Linked DNA regions of Nothobranchius furzeri. The protein of the gene in region 1 interacts with the protein of each later gene in a pairwise test. Links are inferred from orthologs where the notes say so. Each region holds a gene or a part of one and is shown in the gene's direction. Other genes may lie near its edges. The genes, in order: serine/threonine-protein kinase 4 and sav1.

What was found.
Region 2: the proteins of serine/threonine-protein kinase 4 (region 1) and sav1 interact in binary tests that used the Homo sapiens proteins (3 or more experiments, as listed by UniProt). The link is inferred for Nothobranchius furzeri from reciprocal best matches to the Homo sapiens genes STK4 and SAV1.

Annotation. Positions count from the first base shown.
Region 1 is NC_091743.1:73,698,604-73,702,431, forward strand, and holds part of serine/threonine-protein kinase 4, read left to right. Parts: intron 1-1,766; coding exon 1,767-1,912; intron 1,913-3,828. UniProt on the Homo sapiens protein: Stress-activated, pro-apoptotic kinase which, following caspase-cleavage, enters the nucleus and induces chromatin condensation followed by internucleosomal DNA fragmentation.
Region 2 is NC_091758.1:19,778,303-19,782,624, reverse strand, and holds the start of sav1 (protein salvador homolog 1), read left to right. Parts: upstream 1-1,379; 5' UTR 1,380-1,532; coding exon 1,533-1,626; intron 1,627-2,696; coding exon 2,697-3,173; intron 3,174-4,322. Other genes in the region: nin (ninein), read left to right, coding at 119-334. UniProt on the Homo sapiens protein: Regulator of STK3/MST2 and STK4/MST1 in the Hippo signaling pathway which plays a pivotal role in organ size control and tumor suppression by restricting proliferation and promoting apoptosis.

The DNA of each region.
Region 1 (3,828 bases):
AAATGAGTCGTCAGTCATTGCAACCTGAATCAACTGAGTCAACTGAGTCATGATTGCGGCATTTGGGTTTTCACTTAGTAATTTCTGCACATTATTGGTCATAAATCTGTTTAAGTACAGTCATAAAGCAGCTCTCATTTCCTTACGGTGCTGCATTTTGCTGCGTTTGTTGGTTAAGAAGAAACCGACGTAGAGAATATACTTTTTTTTTTTCACCATTCAGGATTATTTGTGTACTCACCATGATACGCTGTGGGGCGTTTTCATGTTGTAACACCATAGCTTATTAAAGCCATGAATCCAGCCCTGAACCACACTAACACTGTATTTGTCACAGTAACAACAATACCCTGACACACTCGTGCATGCATGCTGTTTCACACTGTTAATAATCACACATGTGATTACTCTGCAACAGTAACTAATGCACACACATGCAGTCTACTTCAATTAATCTGTTGATCTTTATGTCCTTAAATGCAGGAAATATTTGTTGCACATGTTTTATTGATGCTAAAGGCCCTTTTTATCATGCAGGTGTGAACTTGACCACAAGTGTTGTTGAAAAAGACTAGTAGTAAAATAATCATTTCCTCCTTTAATTCAGTTGGAGGGACACTTGTATAATTCTTGCATCAGCTATCTGAACTGTATTAAATAGAATAATTGCTTTTCTATTGGACCTGAGCTCACTACACATTTAGAAGCCCCCTTTTGGCATTGCCTTGATATCTTTAAATGCTTTTATTCTGTTTTCCTGCTAAAACAACGTAACTCAATGACTCTTAAAGGTAAATTATTTCTGCAAAACTTCCAGTTTGTTGTGCAATAATCTGCAGCTGCACAGTTTATTAAACACAATAGCAATCGAATCTTAAGTGCAACTAATGACCTGCTTTTCAACGCCTATATGTTTTAGATTTGGTAACCGTTTTATGGAACACAGAGGAAAGTGTTAAGGATCTAGGATCGGTTAATATTTTACAGATGGAATATTTTCCTTGTCTAGGAGGAAGAAAGCACTAAAATATTTACTTTAGAAGCTAACTGTGGGCTTTTTACCGTTGTGAAAAAGTTATAAATTATAAAGTTAACGGGTCATCCCCAGGTCTTTGAATATAAAAGCAAGTTTCACTTTAATCACAAAATGGTTAAAGAATACCAGTGTCTTCATTTGTGAAGTGATTCAAAATAAGTAATCATTAAAGAGAATATTATTAGAAGAAAGCATTAAATAGACTATGCAACTTAAAATGTGTTCACGAACATCCATTCTCCTGTTGCTGCCATAGCATTTAAACCAGAATATTTGTTTCCTACGTCACTGATCATTTTTAGTGTCAACCCTTTTTCAGACCTTCAGTATTATTATTATTATTATTATTATTATTATTATTATTATTATTATCATCATCATCATCAGCTTTTTAAACCCCGAAGCTTTGCTGAAAACACTGCAACATCTTTACTTTATTTTTCATCTCCCTTTGGAAACTATTTGAATAAAAAAAATTAAAGATGTGTATTCCTGTTCTCTACGTTCAGTCTGTGTATTTAGTCATCTTGCATAGCTTGGTTCTTTTAAAACACAGAAAAAAGGCGTTGTTCTTCACTTGTTTTGCTAACATTTTGGCTAATTACTATAGCCATCATCAGTTGTGCCGATGTTGTCAATAACTCCTTTTTCTGTGTTTTTAAAACAACCAAGCAATGCAAAATGTGTATTCCTGACTGTTTAAATGTGGTTTTGGTTGTGTGTCACACAGGGAGAGATGAGACCATGCAACCAGCCAAACCGTCCTTCCTGGAGTACTTTGAGCAGAAGGAAAAGGAGGCGAACGATCACAACGATGGACGCAAAGAAAACAATGCAGACAACCGTAAACTCCCTCCTGAAGGAGATCTGGAAGTGGTGAGTTGGAGGTGCTAGTTTCACTCCTGGGGCGCTGCTCCTGAACTGCAGCTGAACAGTTAATAGCATTTGGTTGCTAGGGAGAACTGGAGAATTTTGGGCCAATCAGCATCTGTGAATGTAATGTCTGTGGATCAGAGCTATGACTTACTGCAGTAACACCTATTGGTAAAAAATAAAAATAAAACATCAAAGACTTCTGGTGTTTTTACTGTTGAGTCGAAGTTATGAGCATTAAAACTCCAGTATTAAACAAATAAAAAATGTCATTTGATTAAGATACTATGTGTTCAACAGTTTTGATAATACCAAATTTAGCAGCATCTGTTTATATATATTTAATATTTCTGGATTTCTGTTGATGTAATGATGCTATCAGACATGAGGTGTGTTTTTAAGCTAAACCTGCTTCTTCGGAGGTCTTATTAGTGTGAAAAGCAGCTGGTGTTTGCGTTGCTCTGAGACATTTACACAGAACCAACAGCTGCCACATGAATTAAATATTAAACATGTGACCTTTAGTATGTAACCAGCTCACACTGCTGCCTTTTACCTTTGGACATACACCGAAAGGCTGTTTGCTCGTCATGAAAACGTAGCAAAATATTTATATTTATGGATATTTTTACCTGTTACAAGTGAAATTCCTCTATAGTTACTCTACCATGTTTTCACTGAGGTTGTCAGGATTGTGGAGTTTTAGTTGACAGGTAAATATGTGGAGTAGCTTAATCATTTATTTCAGCCTATGTGGAGTAATGGTTTGATAAATCACGTAGTATCCAGATAAAGAAACAAAAACTTTACTAACACAAACAGAGGATGCTGATAAATATGCACAACGTGGAAAAAAACTCTTGCTTTTGTAAATGATGATTATTCAGATATGATTATCTTAAGTAACCGCAAAGTGATGGATAGCTTTGGGCCTGGTTAATGTCTAAGTGTTTCTAAAAACAGAACAAAAGCCCGTGTGCTCGAGTAAAAACACACACCAGTGTTTCTATTTGAGCTCAGATCTTTGCCTTTGTGGATTTGAAGTTGCTCCACTTTCACACACTGACAGGTAGCTGCTGCTTGACTCACATTTGACTCTTCAGATCGTTTTTAATTCACCACTTCTTGAACCCTCAGGTGTTGGGGTTGGATGATTATCCCCATGAATACATCACATCTAAGAATTTTAAGTATAAAACAATTATACTCTAATAATACACACACTTTGTACATAAATGATGCAATAGTTTAATGCTTCATGAGAAAAACAGCCTTTCCAACTGTGTGGTTTGATATTCTGAAATGTTCCAGAGTGGACCAGAATTTTAGTCCTGCTGTTGGACTGTTTTTATTTATTTTGCTTGTATAAAAATATCTGATCATCAGTTAAAATGCTGATTTAACAGTTTCAGTATAATTAGTCAGTTTTTTAGACTCATGTTACCCGTCAGCCTATGGAAGTCTGAGGGTAAGTGATAGTTAACGTCTCAATGTGTGGTGCTATAACAGAAAAGATGAGACACACACGCTGAGCTTCTATTAGCATTCAACATGAAGGTTTATTCTCCTTCTGTGTACTCACATAACTGAATAAACATGCAAGACCATATCACAGTCAGGATTTCACAGATAGCTTTTTCCATTTAAGTCATATTACTCTGATTCCTAGTCTAAGAACTCTTGCATTTTTAGTTGTATCAAAAAGATATTTACTTTTAGCTCTCTTTAACAGCTTTTACAGTTTTATTCTGAACACATGAAATATACATCGATATTTAAGCATTTTAACCTCTAAATATGCCCATAGCTTTAACAAGACACAACTATATTTATTCCTTACTGGAAGATGACAAAAAATAGTGTAATGTTTCTTACTCAACTTTACTTAAAAGCGGTTTATTTTTTTACTTCCTCATTAA
Region 2 (4,322 bases), on another chromosome or scaffold:
AAACAATTTTTTCCAGTTACTAATCTTCTAATCCATCTGATCTGTATATTTTGGACCAATATGTTTCCAATCAAGACTCAAACTATCTGTAACTTTCTATGTATTTTTTTTCTCTTAGCTGAACAAGAATGGCAAAGCTGATGTTCTGATCAAAGACCTGTATGTGGAGAACTCCCATCTGGTAAAGGCTCTGGAGAGAACTGAGCAGCGACATGAAATTGCAGAGAAAAAGAACTACCTGCTGGAGGAGAAGATCTCCACCCTGAATAAGATTGTACGGGATCTAAACCCGTCTTATCTTCCAGGGCTTTCTTATAACTGTAAATACGCATGATGACATCTCAGCATCTCATTTTCTTTTAATGTTCTCTATGTAAAATGGACTTTTACCTTCAGGGACACCTCTGTAGCAAATCCTACCAAATGGACAAGAATCTGAAGGTTCTATTGCAATTTTTTACTTGGATTTTTGCAGTATTTTTGTTATTCTAAGTTGCTGAACTTGCAAATATCAAGTCATATTTTAGACATTTTATTTCTCTGTAATTTATTATTTTACAAATATCTTAAAGTAGAAACTGTTGTATCATATATATATATATATATATATATATATATATATATATATATATATATATATATATATATATATATATATATATATATATATATATATATATATATATATAATATGAGAAATGTAGCACTGTTATGTATTTTGATACAGGTGTTTTTATCTCATTGTTTATTTGTAAGCAGCCATACGATGAAGGACCAGAATCGGTTTGTGATAAAATCATGAATCGTAATGGAGGTTTTTTGCTCCTATTTAACACTACTTGAAACTCTGCACACTTTTAATGTATGTCAAATAGTAATATTAAGAAAAATAGAAATATGCTTGTGAAACTATACTGCAATATGTAAAGTTACTGTTAGACGGTGCCATTATGAATGCTTGACTTTCTCTGCAGTGATGAACACTAAAGTGAAATTAGGGTGATGTGAAAATAAAGTGTATGAGCTGTGGTTGGTGGTTAATAAAAATCAAATAATGGTGAATATATTAGCATTATTTAGCCATATTCAAAGTTTTATAGTTTTGTTTTCATGGTTTTATTTTCCTTATAGTTGAACTTTTCTCTCTAACAATGTTTAGTTAAAGAGGCAATTATTCACAAAGCGTGTTTACAATAAGGTGAGAACTTGGAAATAAAGAGTATAAAAGCACTAGTTAAAGTGTCCATTGTTTTATTTTTTTCGTGTTTTGTCAACACACTTTGTACGTTTTTGTACGCCTGCTATCCGGTAGAGGGCGCTTTAGTAGCTGGGAGGATCGTAAACACCCAGCCCGGGTGAGGAGGGCCAGCTGTGGGACTGAATCGCTGCAATCGCTCGCTGTAGCAGCAGCTAGCCGGCTAAGCGCTAACTGTAGAAAATGTTCACATTCCGCCCGTTGTTTCCTGCCAGGGCTGCGGAGGATTGTGCCATGACATCACAGCCGAGTTTTTGACGTTTCTGAGCTTTGAGTTATGCTCTCACGAAAGAAAAGTAAAAACGAAGCGTCGAAACCAGCCGAGGTACACGGGAAATATGTGAAGAAGGAAACGTCGCCGCTCCTCAGAAGTAAGCGCAACAAGTAGTCGACTAGTTAGCTAGGGTTAGCATTAGCCTGCTAACTGAAGTTTGCCACTGTCCGCTAGTAAACTGCTCATTTAAAAAAACAGAATAAAGTTTATGGACACTTCTTATCTTGTGTTTTTTACGTTTTTAATTTGTCTTACTTTACGCACGACCCTAACGGGATGCTACATTGTAGTTTGCTGTTAGCTGAAGGCTATGGACTTGATCTGCATTTGAAGTTTTAAGTCGATTAGTTGCACCAATAAAGCAAATTAAATGTTAAATAAATTGCTGGGCTGTGTAAATAGTCATCAGAACTTATGGAGTCTGCTCTTTAAAGGATACTTTAAAGACCAGAGTACTCAGTTTCTGGTAATGACGCAAAACTGTCACCAATGAAGTTTAAAAACATTTAAAACTTGCTACTCTGCTAAATGCATTAGAATCCTGCAGTTTGAAGGTTTTCCTTCAAATATGAGGACTTGTCCTCAAGAACTATAAGAAAACGGACTCTGTCGGTGTCTAAAGTGCAGCAGCTTCTCTGCTCTTTCAGATATGCAGGTATGTATTTGAAATGACACAAAATAAAATGTTATCAAGTGTTTTATGGAGCTATACTTGGACAGTGCAGCCTATTTCCAGAACAAAGTACAACTTGTCAATAGTAAAATAATTTGATGCTAGCCAACAATGTTGGGATGTCTTGATGTGCTGAGACTCTTCAGAAATGTTTCTGCTGCAGAATATCATCTGTTTTAAGGCAGTGTTACTTATCTATAGCTATTAAATTGGATCAAAAGTTTGTGATTAGATAACAAATCATATCCATGTGTAGTAAATCTGAGCCTTCCTCCTATACACACACGAAAGATAATTAAATCTGCAATTATTCTCATCACAAGTCTCATGACATGTTAAATTAACCTAAATAGTTTATTTATTTTACAGATAATTTTACAATTTTCAAGTAAAATGTAACATTGCCAACCATTGCATCCTGGGTTTACCACATCGCCCCTTTGCTGGAGATGCTGTGTTCACCATTCATGATGTTCCCACTTACCTGTTTGCAGATCTCATGCCCTCATTCATCCGTCATGGACCTACTATTCCCAGACGAACAGAGGGGCCCCCATCCGAGATTGGGTCTACTTCCTACTCTGTGGCACCCAACAGAGAGGCTGTGGTGTCCCGTAACAAAAGTGTCCTCCGCACACCTGTACAGAGGCCTCCACATGAGGTGGCACGCAGAGAGAGCCACCGCCTGTCGGCACCTCCATACCTGCCTCGGAGTGTGGGAGACTTGTCCCACGAGTACAGGGGCTCGTCGCAATCCTTCCCCACAGAAGTGAGTCCCATGTCTGAGAACGGGGACGGTGCTCTGTACTACTACCCATCTGACCCTTATTATGAAAACCAGCAGCAGCGCCAGCCTAGGAGAGTCCAGGAATGCTTTCCTGATGACTATAGATATTATGAACACAATGAACACAACTTTCAAAGACTTTCTCACCAACACGCTTCCCCAGCTCCCAGCCGACCCCCCTCAGGTAAGCTTGGCATGCATTTGCTGTGTTCTTTTGAAAGGAATAGTTTGCAATATGTCTAGAAGCAGGTGTATTTTATACATGGCACACACATTCTTGAAGCGGGTCATTTATGACTTGTCAGCAGCAACATTTGTGGTTTAAATAAGAAGCTTAAACAAGAGCAGGATAATTAAAATCATACCAGGCAGTCGGCACCACAAAGTTTAAATAGATATGTTTTAGAGGTCAATTTTAAGATTTTAAACGTTAGGGTCCTATGGAAATGTGCAGCTTGTGTAAAAAGGCAGCTTTGGTGTATGGTTGAATGTTATGGAAAGTTTTAAACCACAAATACAAGCCGCGTGCTTTCAAGCTGAAATAAGCAGTTTTAGTTTAGTTTTTCTAAGAGTTAAAATATTTCCATCCCATTGCCCAACATTATACTATATAATCTGTTCTATGCGTGTCATTTTCATGAGATTAAAAGTGTTCTGAGGTCGCAGGAATTTTCTGTATTTCATCAAACAGAAGAGAACGTTTTATTTTGCGGTTGTCTTGTTGACAACTTGTATTCGTGTTATGACGACAGATCCACCTCGCTCGAGTCATGGAGCCATGTTGGAGAGATGCTGAGCTTTTTAATACCTTTCTATTGGCAGACTAATAATTTGTCCAGAGTCTTTGACTCGACTCTTAAATGGGTATGTGTGTTAAACATCCTCTGTTTGGAGAAGTAATGTACTTCCTATAGGGCTGATTGGCTAACGGCTAACATGAGCACAAACCAAAGTGGATTGCTGCCTTTTTAAAATGACTTCAGGTAGAAAATTCTCACCACTTGTTACAGTTGTTACTACTGAACAAGGAAAAGTTGTTGAACTTAGGAAAAGGTGGAATTGCGATGATTTTCTGGACCCCTTTAATGTTAAACATCACCCTAACACTGAACTCTGACACATTAGATGCGTTTGTTTGAATAACCGTAACTCCACGACGGTTTGTGCAGTCAGAAAAATTCTGACGTTTTTTTAAAAATGAGAAGTTTTGCTTTCAAGTCCACTTAGAGTTATTACGATAAATCCTGAGCAGAGACAGATGGGCAGAAGTCATTAATTATATCAGCTGTAGCAGCGCCATGACAAATAAGAAAATTGGAAATGAACTGATTTT